Linked DNA regions of Mus musculus. The protein of the gene in region 3 interacts with the protein of the main gene of each other region in a pairwise test. Links are inferred from orthologs where the notes say so. Each region holds a gene or a part of one and is shown on either strand. Other genes may lie near its edges.

Evidence for each region.
Region 1: the proteins of Trip6 (region 3) and Frs3 interact in binary tests that used the Homo sapiens proteins (3 or more experiments, as listed by UniProt). The two-hybrid records come from large-scale screens. The link is inferred for Mus musculus from reciprocal best matches to the Homo sapiens genes TRIP6 and FRS3.
Region 2: the proteins of Trip6 (region 3) and Gse1 interact in binary tests that used the Homo sapiens proteins (3 or more experiments, as listed by UniProt). The link is inferred for Mus musculus from reciprocal best matches to the Homo sapiens genes TRIP6 and GSE1.

Annotation. Positions count from the first base shown.
Region 1 is NC_000083.6:47,701,492-47,704,933, reverse strand, and holds the end of Frs3 (fibroblast growth factor receptor substrate 3), read right to left. Parts: intron 3,321-3,442; exon of another isoform or gene 3,312-3,320; coding exon 3,150-3,311; exon of another isoform or gene 2,938-3,149; intron 2,365-2,937; coding exon 2,210-2,364; intron 1,981-2,209; coding exon 1,072-1,980; 3' UTR 648-1,071; downstream 1-647. UniProt on the Homo sapiens protein: Adapter protein that links FGF and NGF receptors to downstream signaling pathways. Involved in the activation of MAP kinases. Down-regulates ERK2 signaling by interfering with the phosphorylation and nuclear translocation of ERK2.
Region 2 is NC_000074.6:120,564,859-120,568,510, forward strand, and holds part of Gse1 (genetic suppressor element 1), read left to right. Parts: intron 1-1,509; coding exon 1,510-1,682; intron 1,683-2,068; coding exon 2,069-2,266; intron 2,267-2,904; coding exon 2,905-3,096; intron 3,097-3,302; coding exon 3,303-3,625; intron 3,626-3,652.
Region 3 is NC_000071.6:137,309,331-137,311,525, reverse strand, and holds the end of Trip6 (thyroid receptor-interacting protein 6), read left to right. Parts: intron 1-694; coding exon 695-873; exon of another isoform or gene 874-925; intron 926-1,120; coding exon 1,121-1,241; intron 1,242-1,351; coding exon 1,352-1,483; 3' UTR 1,484-1,627; downstream 1,628-2,195. UniProt on the Homo sapiens protein: Relays signals from the cell surface to the nucleus to weaken adherens junction and promote actin cytoskeleton reorganization and cell invasiveness. Involved in lysophosphatidic acid-induced cell adhesion and migration.

The DNA.
Region 1 (3,442 bases), on a different chromosome or scaffold from region 3:
AGGTACAGTGGGCGCTGAGAGGAAGGGTAGGGCCCTGCCACAAGAGGGCACCAGGCAGCCTGAATGTAGCTGGGGGCTGGGGGCTCCATCCTGGGCTGTTCTCTAGGGAAGCCCCAAAGGATGAACTGGAAGGCTAGTCAGGCATGTGATTTTAGCAAAATCCCCTGTGAAGGGTCTGACCTAGGCAAGGTTGAGCTGTGTGAGGAGAGGCTGTGGTCTACCTTCCGCTCAACATATATTCTGGCCAGCAGTGGCCCCTGGGGCTTGCCTGGAGGGGCTACAGAGTCTTGTGAAATGTCTCTCCCCCATTTCCGGTCCGTTGTAGCCTGTAAAGTGAACATCATCTCTTAGGTCACATTTCTTCCCAGGTTCCCTCTGCCTTTGAGCTCTCAGCAGCGAGCCCCCAGCTTAGCAGAAGCAGAGCTTGTCCATCCCTGGAAACCTTTACATTTTAGGCCAGGGCTTCTACACTTGATCTTAGCCAAAAGGCCGAGAAGCGATAGGCCAGGGCTTCTTAGAAAAGAAAAAGAAATAACCGCAGACTTTACACCCCCCTGAATTTGCCATGAATCCTCCCCTCTCTGTGGGGTCACCTACCTACCCAGACCCTGCCAGGAAACACTGCACAGACGAGAGCACTCACTGAGCCAGAATTTAAAAATAATTATATTAATAATAAATATGTTAAGTTACATTTAAAACAATAAATAGAAAAATAAACTGATAAATAAAATCAACAGGTACAAAAATGTCTCAAAACTCCAACAAAAAAAGGGAAAGGAAAAAAAACCTGAAAGCACAAACACATGGACAGCAGACAGACAGACAAACGGACATTAGGGAAGGGTGCGAAATGCAACCTTGAGAACCCTTCACAGTTTCCACCATGGTTCCCTCCTCTCCGGCTCCCCCTCTCCTCTCCCCAGCTTGGGGAACTGGACACTCAGTGGCTGACATCTTTGGGGACTCCGGCGATGCAGGGAAGTGTCTTCTGCAGAGCAGCTGAGAGTCCTGGGCTGGTGGGTGAGGTGGAGTCCCCTGCTGTAGGCAGAGGCAGGCGGAGGCCCAGGTCTACAGAGGCAGGTCGGTGCTGTTGTGCCGAGTCTTCCTGACCGCGCCATCATCTCGGGGCAGAGCCCTCTGCAGGTCGGACATGGCCGCCGTTTTCTTGAGGTCAATCACGGCATACGAGTCTGAGCTGCGAACAGGGTGTGGGGTGGGCCCAGGAGCTCCAGACACTGAGGGGTTCTGGGGCCCCTTGGGACGGGCTGTACCCCAGCCCTTGAGCTCCACCTGGATGTAGTTGAGCTGCCTTGGGGGCTCAGGGCCCTGCCGGCGGAAATCAAAGTTGAAGACCCGCGGGGAGCCTCGTCGGCGGGTCAGTGGGACAGGGAAGCCGCTGTGGCTACGGGCGGAGGCCCGCGTGCTGGTGGGTTTCTGTAGCGGGGTTTCATCCTCCTCGCCATCAGGGAAGCCATTTGAGGACGGGGTAAGCCCGTCCCTGGAGTCCCCATCATCCCCAGCCTCCCCTCCCGGCTGTTGACCTTGGCTCTCCCACACTGGGGGAAGTGGGGGCAGGTTCTCATAGTGCAGCAGGGCCGCCCGACGGTGGGCCAGGCCACTCCACCCTCGCTCCTCAGGGCTCAGTCTCCAGCCAGCCCCTTGCTGCAGGCCCCCGCTGACGTTCTCGTAGGTGCATTTGGGCTGGGCTGGGCACTCAGAAGGGCCCTCGTTGTTGTTGTGATGGGGAGGGTCCTGCATGCCCGGGCAGAGGCTCTGGCACTTCATCACCTGCCGCCGAGCAGGGGTGGGGCCCAGCACGAACTTGACCTGCCCTGGCTGGAGCAACACCTGTGGGTCTCGCTGGTCGGAACCCTGTGTCTGTGCTGGGAGGGGTACCCTGCCCTCAGGCAGTGGCTGCAGGCAGTGGCGACTTCTGCCATCCTCATCCCCAGTTGGTGTGTTGACATAGGTGTGAGACTGCAGGCAGGGAGAGAGATGTTAAGTGAATCAAGTGGTTTCAAGGACTGGGAGGAGGGACAGGGCCAGAGAAGACAGGAAAAGAGCCAGAGTTTCTCCTGCCGCCTCCAACCCCCCCCCATAAGCGGCCCCTCCTGCTCCGGTAGAGGGGGGCCCTATCAAGTCTCTTCTGTTCTCCCAACCTTCCCTAGGTCCCGCCCACCTAGAGTGCCGCCCACCACCTGCACACCTGCTCCTCGGAGGCAATGAGGGTGTGGGTAGACTCTTCCCCAGGCGAGGGGTGTCGCAGACTGCTTGTGGAGGGTCGGCGAGGTGCGGAGGAGAACCGTGGGCCCTCTCCAGGGCAGCCAGGGAAGCCATTGGAGAAGCCAGAGACCGTGTAGCCTGGAGGTGGGTTCAGGGAAAGCAGTCAAGGAGAGGGGTATGGGAGAGCTGACAGTCATTTGCAGTCACGTGCACACATATTTGAGGTGCCCTGCAATCCTTCCAAAGGCAAGCAAGAGGCTCTCACGGCCCTATTATCACTCACTGCACTGACTGGGCAGCCCCCCACCCCCCTACACCTCTGCAATCAAATCCTGCCCTGCCCTCTGAAGCCACCCTGAGGCTGGCTCAACCTCCTACTTTCTCATAGACCTTATTAAACACTGATGGCACACCTGTCACCCCTGAACTGTCCTATGACCAGGCAGGCTTTGCCAGGGAGCACCAGGAAACCTCACCGACACAGGGGCCATTTTAGCCTTTCTGTCTCTCACAGGGAATACAATGAGCAGGGCTGTGTGGTCTGACTTAGCAGCCATCAAGAACAGATCATGGGAACCTCCACACCAATGTGAGCAGCGATGGCGCGCCAGCCAGCCAGGAGAAGTGTATTTTGTATGTGATCCAGGCCAGTACACGGAAGGAAGCAAAAAGCTCCAGACTGCTGTTTCTATGGCAACCCAACGTCTTCCTGTCTGCTTCCCAACCATCAGTTGACCCAAGGCGCAGGCCTCTGCAGCTCCAGCTTGAGTCACCCAACTGGCCCTGCCCAGGACTGATCCATCCTCAGGAATGGTTCTGACGACAGAAGACTGTCCAGGAAGGCTGGCTCACCCCAGCTCTCCCGTACCTGCTCCTTAGCTCGTGTGTGTATATGACAGGGTGACTGGGGTGGGGTCTCTCACCAGCGGGCTGTGGGGGCCCTCGAGGCAGGTCCAGCTCTGGTGGGTGGCTGCTCCGCGTGATGATGACCGGCTCCTCCGTCACGTTGATGCTGTTACACTGCATGAGGTCCTGCAGCAGGTTGAAGATGTCCTCTGCCCTCGAACACTTGAATGCAAAGATGCCTGGGGAAGGTGAGGAAGCAGTGAGGGCCTCCAAGACCCGGTTTTCCTAAGGATAGGTGCCTTCTGGGGTGGGGAGAAAACCATGGGTAGGTGCCCCATCTTCCTGTACCCATCACTCTGCCTCCCAGCTG
Region 2 (3,652 bases), on a different chromosome or scaffold from region 3:
ATGACCATTTTTTCTTTTCTCTTTTTTTTCTCTTTTTTCATCTTTGGGGCTATTTTTTGTTTTTTGTTTTTTGGTTTTTGGTTTTTTTTTTTTTTGGAGACAGGATTTCTCTGTGTAGCCTGGCTGTCCTAGAACTCACTCTGTAGTGCTGGGATTAAAGGCATGTGCCACCACTGCCCAGCCTGATGGCCATTTTTCTAGTCTCCTTGTTTGTCCTGGTGTGAGTGGGATATGTGCCCCCACCCCACCCGCACCCTGCCATACACACCTATACGGTACTGTGTGAATGTTTCTCCTGAGGAGGGCAGGTCAGAGGTCATGAACCCATGAGGACCCCACAAGGGAACAGAGACAGCCTGCTGCTGCACCCAGGGAAGGAAACAGATGTTGCTGCTCATTAAAAATTCAATCAGCAGCCTGTCTCCCTCAATTAATCGTGGCTGGCTGTCTGTGGGGAGCAGGAGGGCTTGTGGTAGACTCTGTGAGAATGGAGGCGGGGAGGTACGGTGCTAAGCTGTCCTCACTCTGCACACACAGGGTTAAGTGGTGGTACAGCCACGACCCCTCCCCTCGGGGCTTACATATGCTCTGGTGATGCTAGCTGCTGACCCTGGGGATAACCACAAGGAGCCGGTAGAATGGCTGGCAGGCCTGTATCCAGAGACAATCAGTGTTACTATGCTGGCTACCATGAGCCTTTCAGTCACACCATGGGTTCAGCCATATCATCCAGAGGACCTCGTGTCCCTAGTGAGTGCCACTGTCTGCCTTGTGTTGGGCTTCTCCTGCAGTAGTGAGGGAAGGGCCTCAAAGTTGTACCAGGAGGCTCCTGGCCCTCAGTCTCCCCTCTGCTCCGTGGCTCCCTGACTTTGCCTCTCTGCCTTGCCCTGAGGATTCCTCCCTAGTCACAGGTGACAGGCATGCAGGGCTGTTGGGTCTGGTTTCTCCAGGCTGTGTGGTGCTGCTGTGACTGTTTATACAGAAAATCAGTCCGTGAGGCGGGGTCTCCCCAGCCCAGCCCAGCCCAGCCCAACTCAACTGCCGCCTCTCACTTCCTGCCTGAAGGGAGCCTCTCCTGGGGTCTCAAAGCCTAAATATGTGCAAGGGTCCCCCACGTAGGTCCATATCAGCTGCCAGCAGTGTCCACATAGCTACGGGCACTGCTGGAATCTAGGGAGCAGCTCTGTCCTGAGGTGCAGGTCCCCAGGGTGTGTGTGTGTCCTGACTCTATGACCACCCTGTTTTGCCTATAGGAGGTGGGAGTTCCTACCCTGCAGATGCCCTCACATGCCTCATCTTGGGATTCAGCAGTCTGGTGTCTAAGGCTTCCCTGACATTGTTGAGTTCCTTCTAGAGCTGAGCCAGACCCTGTAGACCTTGGTCCAGACCTGCTCATAGGAGGCTTTCTCCCTAAATACCCCTTTTATGCTTTCTTTGATTAAAAAAAAAAATTAGGGGGAGGATGTTTCTAGAATATGGCTCCCCAAAACCTAACTCTTCTTCCCGCAGGACTCTGGCTCACGAGGCAGCAGCAGTGGTCGGGAGCGCCTATTGGTGGAGCCACCTCTCGCCCAGGAAAAGGCTGCGGGCCCCGCCATCCCCTCCCACCTACTCAGCACCCCGTACCCCTTTGGCCTTTCCCCCGGCTCAGTTGTACAGGACTCCCGCTTCCAACCACTCAAGTAAGTGCCAGCCTGGGGTCAGGGAAGGCACAGGGGTGGCTCCAGACAGACCTGAGAGTTTGCACTGGCAGAGGTAGATAGAATGCCATTAGTCTCAGTGGCCTGATCTGCCCTGAGGTCCTTGGCCCCATCTGACCTTGTGGTCCAGCCTTTGTTGAGACAGACTTATCAGGTGTCCTAAACACATTTAAGCCCATCCTCTGGGTCTGGGGAACAGAGAGCCCCTCCAGCATCTCTATCCACTCGTGGGGACCTTGAGGGACAGGCAGCTTCCCATCTGTGCAGTCTGGGCTTCATGCCAGGCTGTACCTCACTGAGAGGCAGGACCTGAGCCTGGTGAGGGAGTGTGGCACATTACCTCTGCTCCCCACTTCCCCCTCCCACAGCCTCCAGCGGCCTGTGCACCATGTGGTGCCCCCCAGCACGGTGACTGAGGACTACTTGAGAAGCTTCCGGCCCTACCACACTGCTGAAGACTTACGCATGTCCTCCTTGCCTCCGCTTGGCCTGGACCCAGCCACCGCCGCAGCCTACTATCACCCCAGCTACCTGGCCCCACACCCATTCCCCCACCCGGCCTTCAGGTGAGGCGTCCCCACTCACGCTGCCCTGTGTGCTAATCTGTTCTCAGCAAGGCAGAACCTCTCGGGGCGGGCGTTTGCCAGGGCTTGGGGTCCAGGCACTCAAGGGAGCTATATAGCTTTCCCCAGCTCGACTGAGTTGAGTCTTGATGGATGGACTCAGTACCACCTGCTGATGCTCCTTGGTTCCCACTTCTCAGCATCTGCACCCCAGCAGCCAGTCCCCACTAACAGTGTGTGGTACCTAGACAGTGTGATGGAGACTCCGGAGTGAGAGTCAGGCCATGCCCTCCCTCTTCCTGTAGAAGCTCCTGGCCTCTTACCACAGCGGGTCACACCAGAGGTCTCTGCCTGCAGCCAGTCTGCCCTCCCGCTCGCTCACCCATGGTCCGGGAGGTCCTAGGCGCCCATGTGGTCTGTTCCTTGTGGCCCCAGACAGTGGACATGCTCTTTGCATGCAGTCTCTGCAGGGCTGAGCCTGAGTGAGCAGTGGCTCGCCCAGCCGAGAGGCGCCGGCTCACCTGCCTGGGTCCCGGCCTTTCTCCTGCAGTGCCAGGGATTCACCTGAGGGCTTCGCATCTGCTAGGCAAGCTTATCCTTTGTGGCTCCTGCACACACCAGTCCTGCCTCTCTGTCTACAGGATGGATGACTCCTATTGCCTGTCAGCCTTAAGGTCTCCGTTCTACCCCATCCCCACCCCTGGCTCCCTGCCTCCACTGCATCCGTCGGCGATGCACCTGCATCTCTCCGGCGTACGGTATCCTCCTGAGCTCTCCCACTCGTCCCTGGCGGCGCTACACTCGGAGCGGATGTCCAGCCTCAGTGCAGAGAGGTAAGCTGTGTTTTCAGCAGAGGTGGGGTGGAGGGGACTGTTGAGCGTTCCTGAGGTCCTCAGCGGGGCCTGGCTTGGTGGTGGCGGGATGCGGTTCTTTGTGTGTAGGTGGCAACTCTTGCATGTGGCTGCTCCACTTTGAGCTGGGGCGTGGACTTGCCCCCCCTGCACATCCCTTTAGCACGCTGCCCTGTTTTCCCTCCCAGGTTGCAAATGGACGAGGAACTGCGGCGGGAGAGAGAGCGAGAGCGGGAACGGGAACGGGAGGCCGACCGGGAGCGGGAGAAGGAGCGGGAGCGGGAGCAGCGGGAGAAGGAGCGGGAGAAGGAGCTGGAGCGCGAGCGGGAGAAGGAACGGGAGCGCGAGCTGGAGCGGCAGCGGGAGCAGCGGGCGAGGGAGAAGGAGCTGCTGGCTGCCAAGGCCTTAGAGCCCACCACCTTCCTGCCTGTGGCCGAGCTGCACGGACTCCGAGGTCACAGCACGGAGGAGCGGCCCAAGCCCTCGGAGCAGCTGACCCCAACCCGAGCAGGTACCTGGGCTGAGCTGTGTGGAGGGA
Region 3 (2,195 bases):
GAATTTCCTCCTTCTATCCATGAGATACGGGGATTCTGGGTGTGGGCCACCAGACCTGTTCTTTGTGGTGCTAGGAATGGAACCCAGGGCTTCGTGCATGCTGGACAAACACTTTACCAACTGAGCTATGGCCCCAGGCTAAGGAATGAGTTAACTGTGGAGACTAGATGAAGGAGGGAAAGACAGCTCCTCCTTTCAAGCGGGTGGGTGCCTGCCTGCCTGCCTGCCTGCCTGCCTGCCTGCCTGCCTGCCTTCCTTCCTTCCTTCCTTCCTTCCTTCCTTCCTTCCTTCCTTCCTTCCTTCCTTCCTTCCTTCCTTCCAGACGGAGTCTTACTGTGTAGCCCAGGCTGATCCTAAAGTTATGGTTCTCCTGCTTCAGCCTCCCAAGAGCTAGGAAACCGGATATGTGCCACTGTGCCAGCTGGAAGGCATTTTAGAGTTGAGGTTATTTGTGAAAATCTGACAGCATTCCTCAGAGGCATTACTGATTCATCTCACTGAAAGATGAAGTGTGTGGAGACCAAATCCCTTGTCTAGAGGCTTCAGTGCTGCTCTTAGACCTCAGAAATGCTAAGTCCACCTTCCACTGAATCCCATGCAGGGAACTACACACACCAGATGGCTGGGCAGAGAGTACTCCTTCCTGGCTGGAGTGGCTTCCCTCCACTGACCTTCCTTCCTCTTTTTTCGTTAGGCCACCCTGGAGAAATGTTCCACATGCTCTGAACCCATCCTGGACCGAATCCTGAGGGCTATGGGGAAGGCGTACCACCCTGGTTGCTTCACCTGTGTGGTATGCCACCGTGGTCTTGATGGCATCCCGTTCACAGTGGACGCCACCAGCCAGATCCACTGCATTGAAGATTTCCACAGGTCTTGCCTGGATTCAGCATGTCTTCACTGACCTATTTCTTCATGTCCCAGGGTCTGCCTCTTCTGTTTCCACCTTCTGGTGCTCTCTTTCTTTGACACCACTTTCTTCCCCAAGACCCAGACACATCTCTTATATCCTTCTCATCCCCACCCCTGCCCCTTCCACCTTCATTGGGCTTCATTTTGAGTCTCCTGATGGTGTGGGAGGGAGGGACCTGATAGCCTCTTTGGTTCCCCTCCACTGCAGGAAATTTGCCCCACGATGCTCAGTGTGTGGTGGGGCCATCATGCCGGAACCAGGTCAGGAGGAGACGGTGAGAATTGTTGCTCTGGATCGAAGTTTCCACATCGGCTGTTACAAGTGTGAGGTGAGGGGGGGTCCCTGGGCAGGAGCGAGAGCTTTGCAGAGCCCGGGAAGCTGGGGGAAAAGCACTGTGGGAAAGTCCCAGGCTAATGAAGGTTTTGTTCTTTCTCACAGGAGTGTGGGCTGCTGCTGTCCTCTGAGGGAGAGTGTCAAGGCTGCTACCCGCTGGATGGGCACATCTTGTGCAAGGCTTGCAGCGCCTGGCGTATCCAAGAGCTCTCAGCCACTGTCACCACTGATTGTTGACTGCTCTGAGAAGTACCTGCTGGGATCTCAGCCCCCGTCCGTCCGTCCGTCACTTCCCCCAACATCTACCCTTAGTGTTTGCCATCAAATGCTGTCTTTTCTTCCTCTCTTCATGAAATAATAATCCCTGGAGCATTTAAAAGCACTTCCAAGTCTGTTCTTTATTGGAGTCTCACAGGATGAGGCTGGTGAAAGCTTGAACTCCAGCACTCAGGAGGCGGAGGCAGAGTGTGAGTTTGAGCCCAGCCTAGTTTACATACTAAGTTCCAGGACAGTGAGGGGCTACATAATGAGATCCTGCATATCTTTTATTAACTCTCATCCTGTACTATTGTTGTTGTTACATAAATTAACCTGTTTACTGTAGGCTAGGGATGTCTCAGATGATTGGATTTCTGCTGGTCTTTCAAGTCCTTCAGACTTCTGATGCCAGATACAACAGCAGAAGTGGTGTCGCAGATCTGGGCTGCACCAGCCACCACAGTGCCAGATGCCAGTGGCCTGTTTTCTTCATCTTGGTCTTGCTCCAGAAGGAACAAATATACCTGGTGTGCTCATCGATTTCAATTTTCCATGCCATTCTCCAGAGGGAGGCATCATCTCGGATCCTATGTTTACTTACGATGCTGACCTGCTCGGTGCATTTAGCCACAGTGCCGTGACATAGGCCAAATGTCAAACAGAGGTAGTTCTCTAAAGGACAAACTGTAAA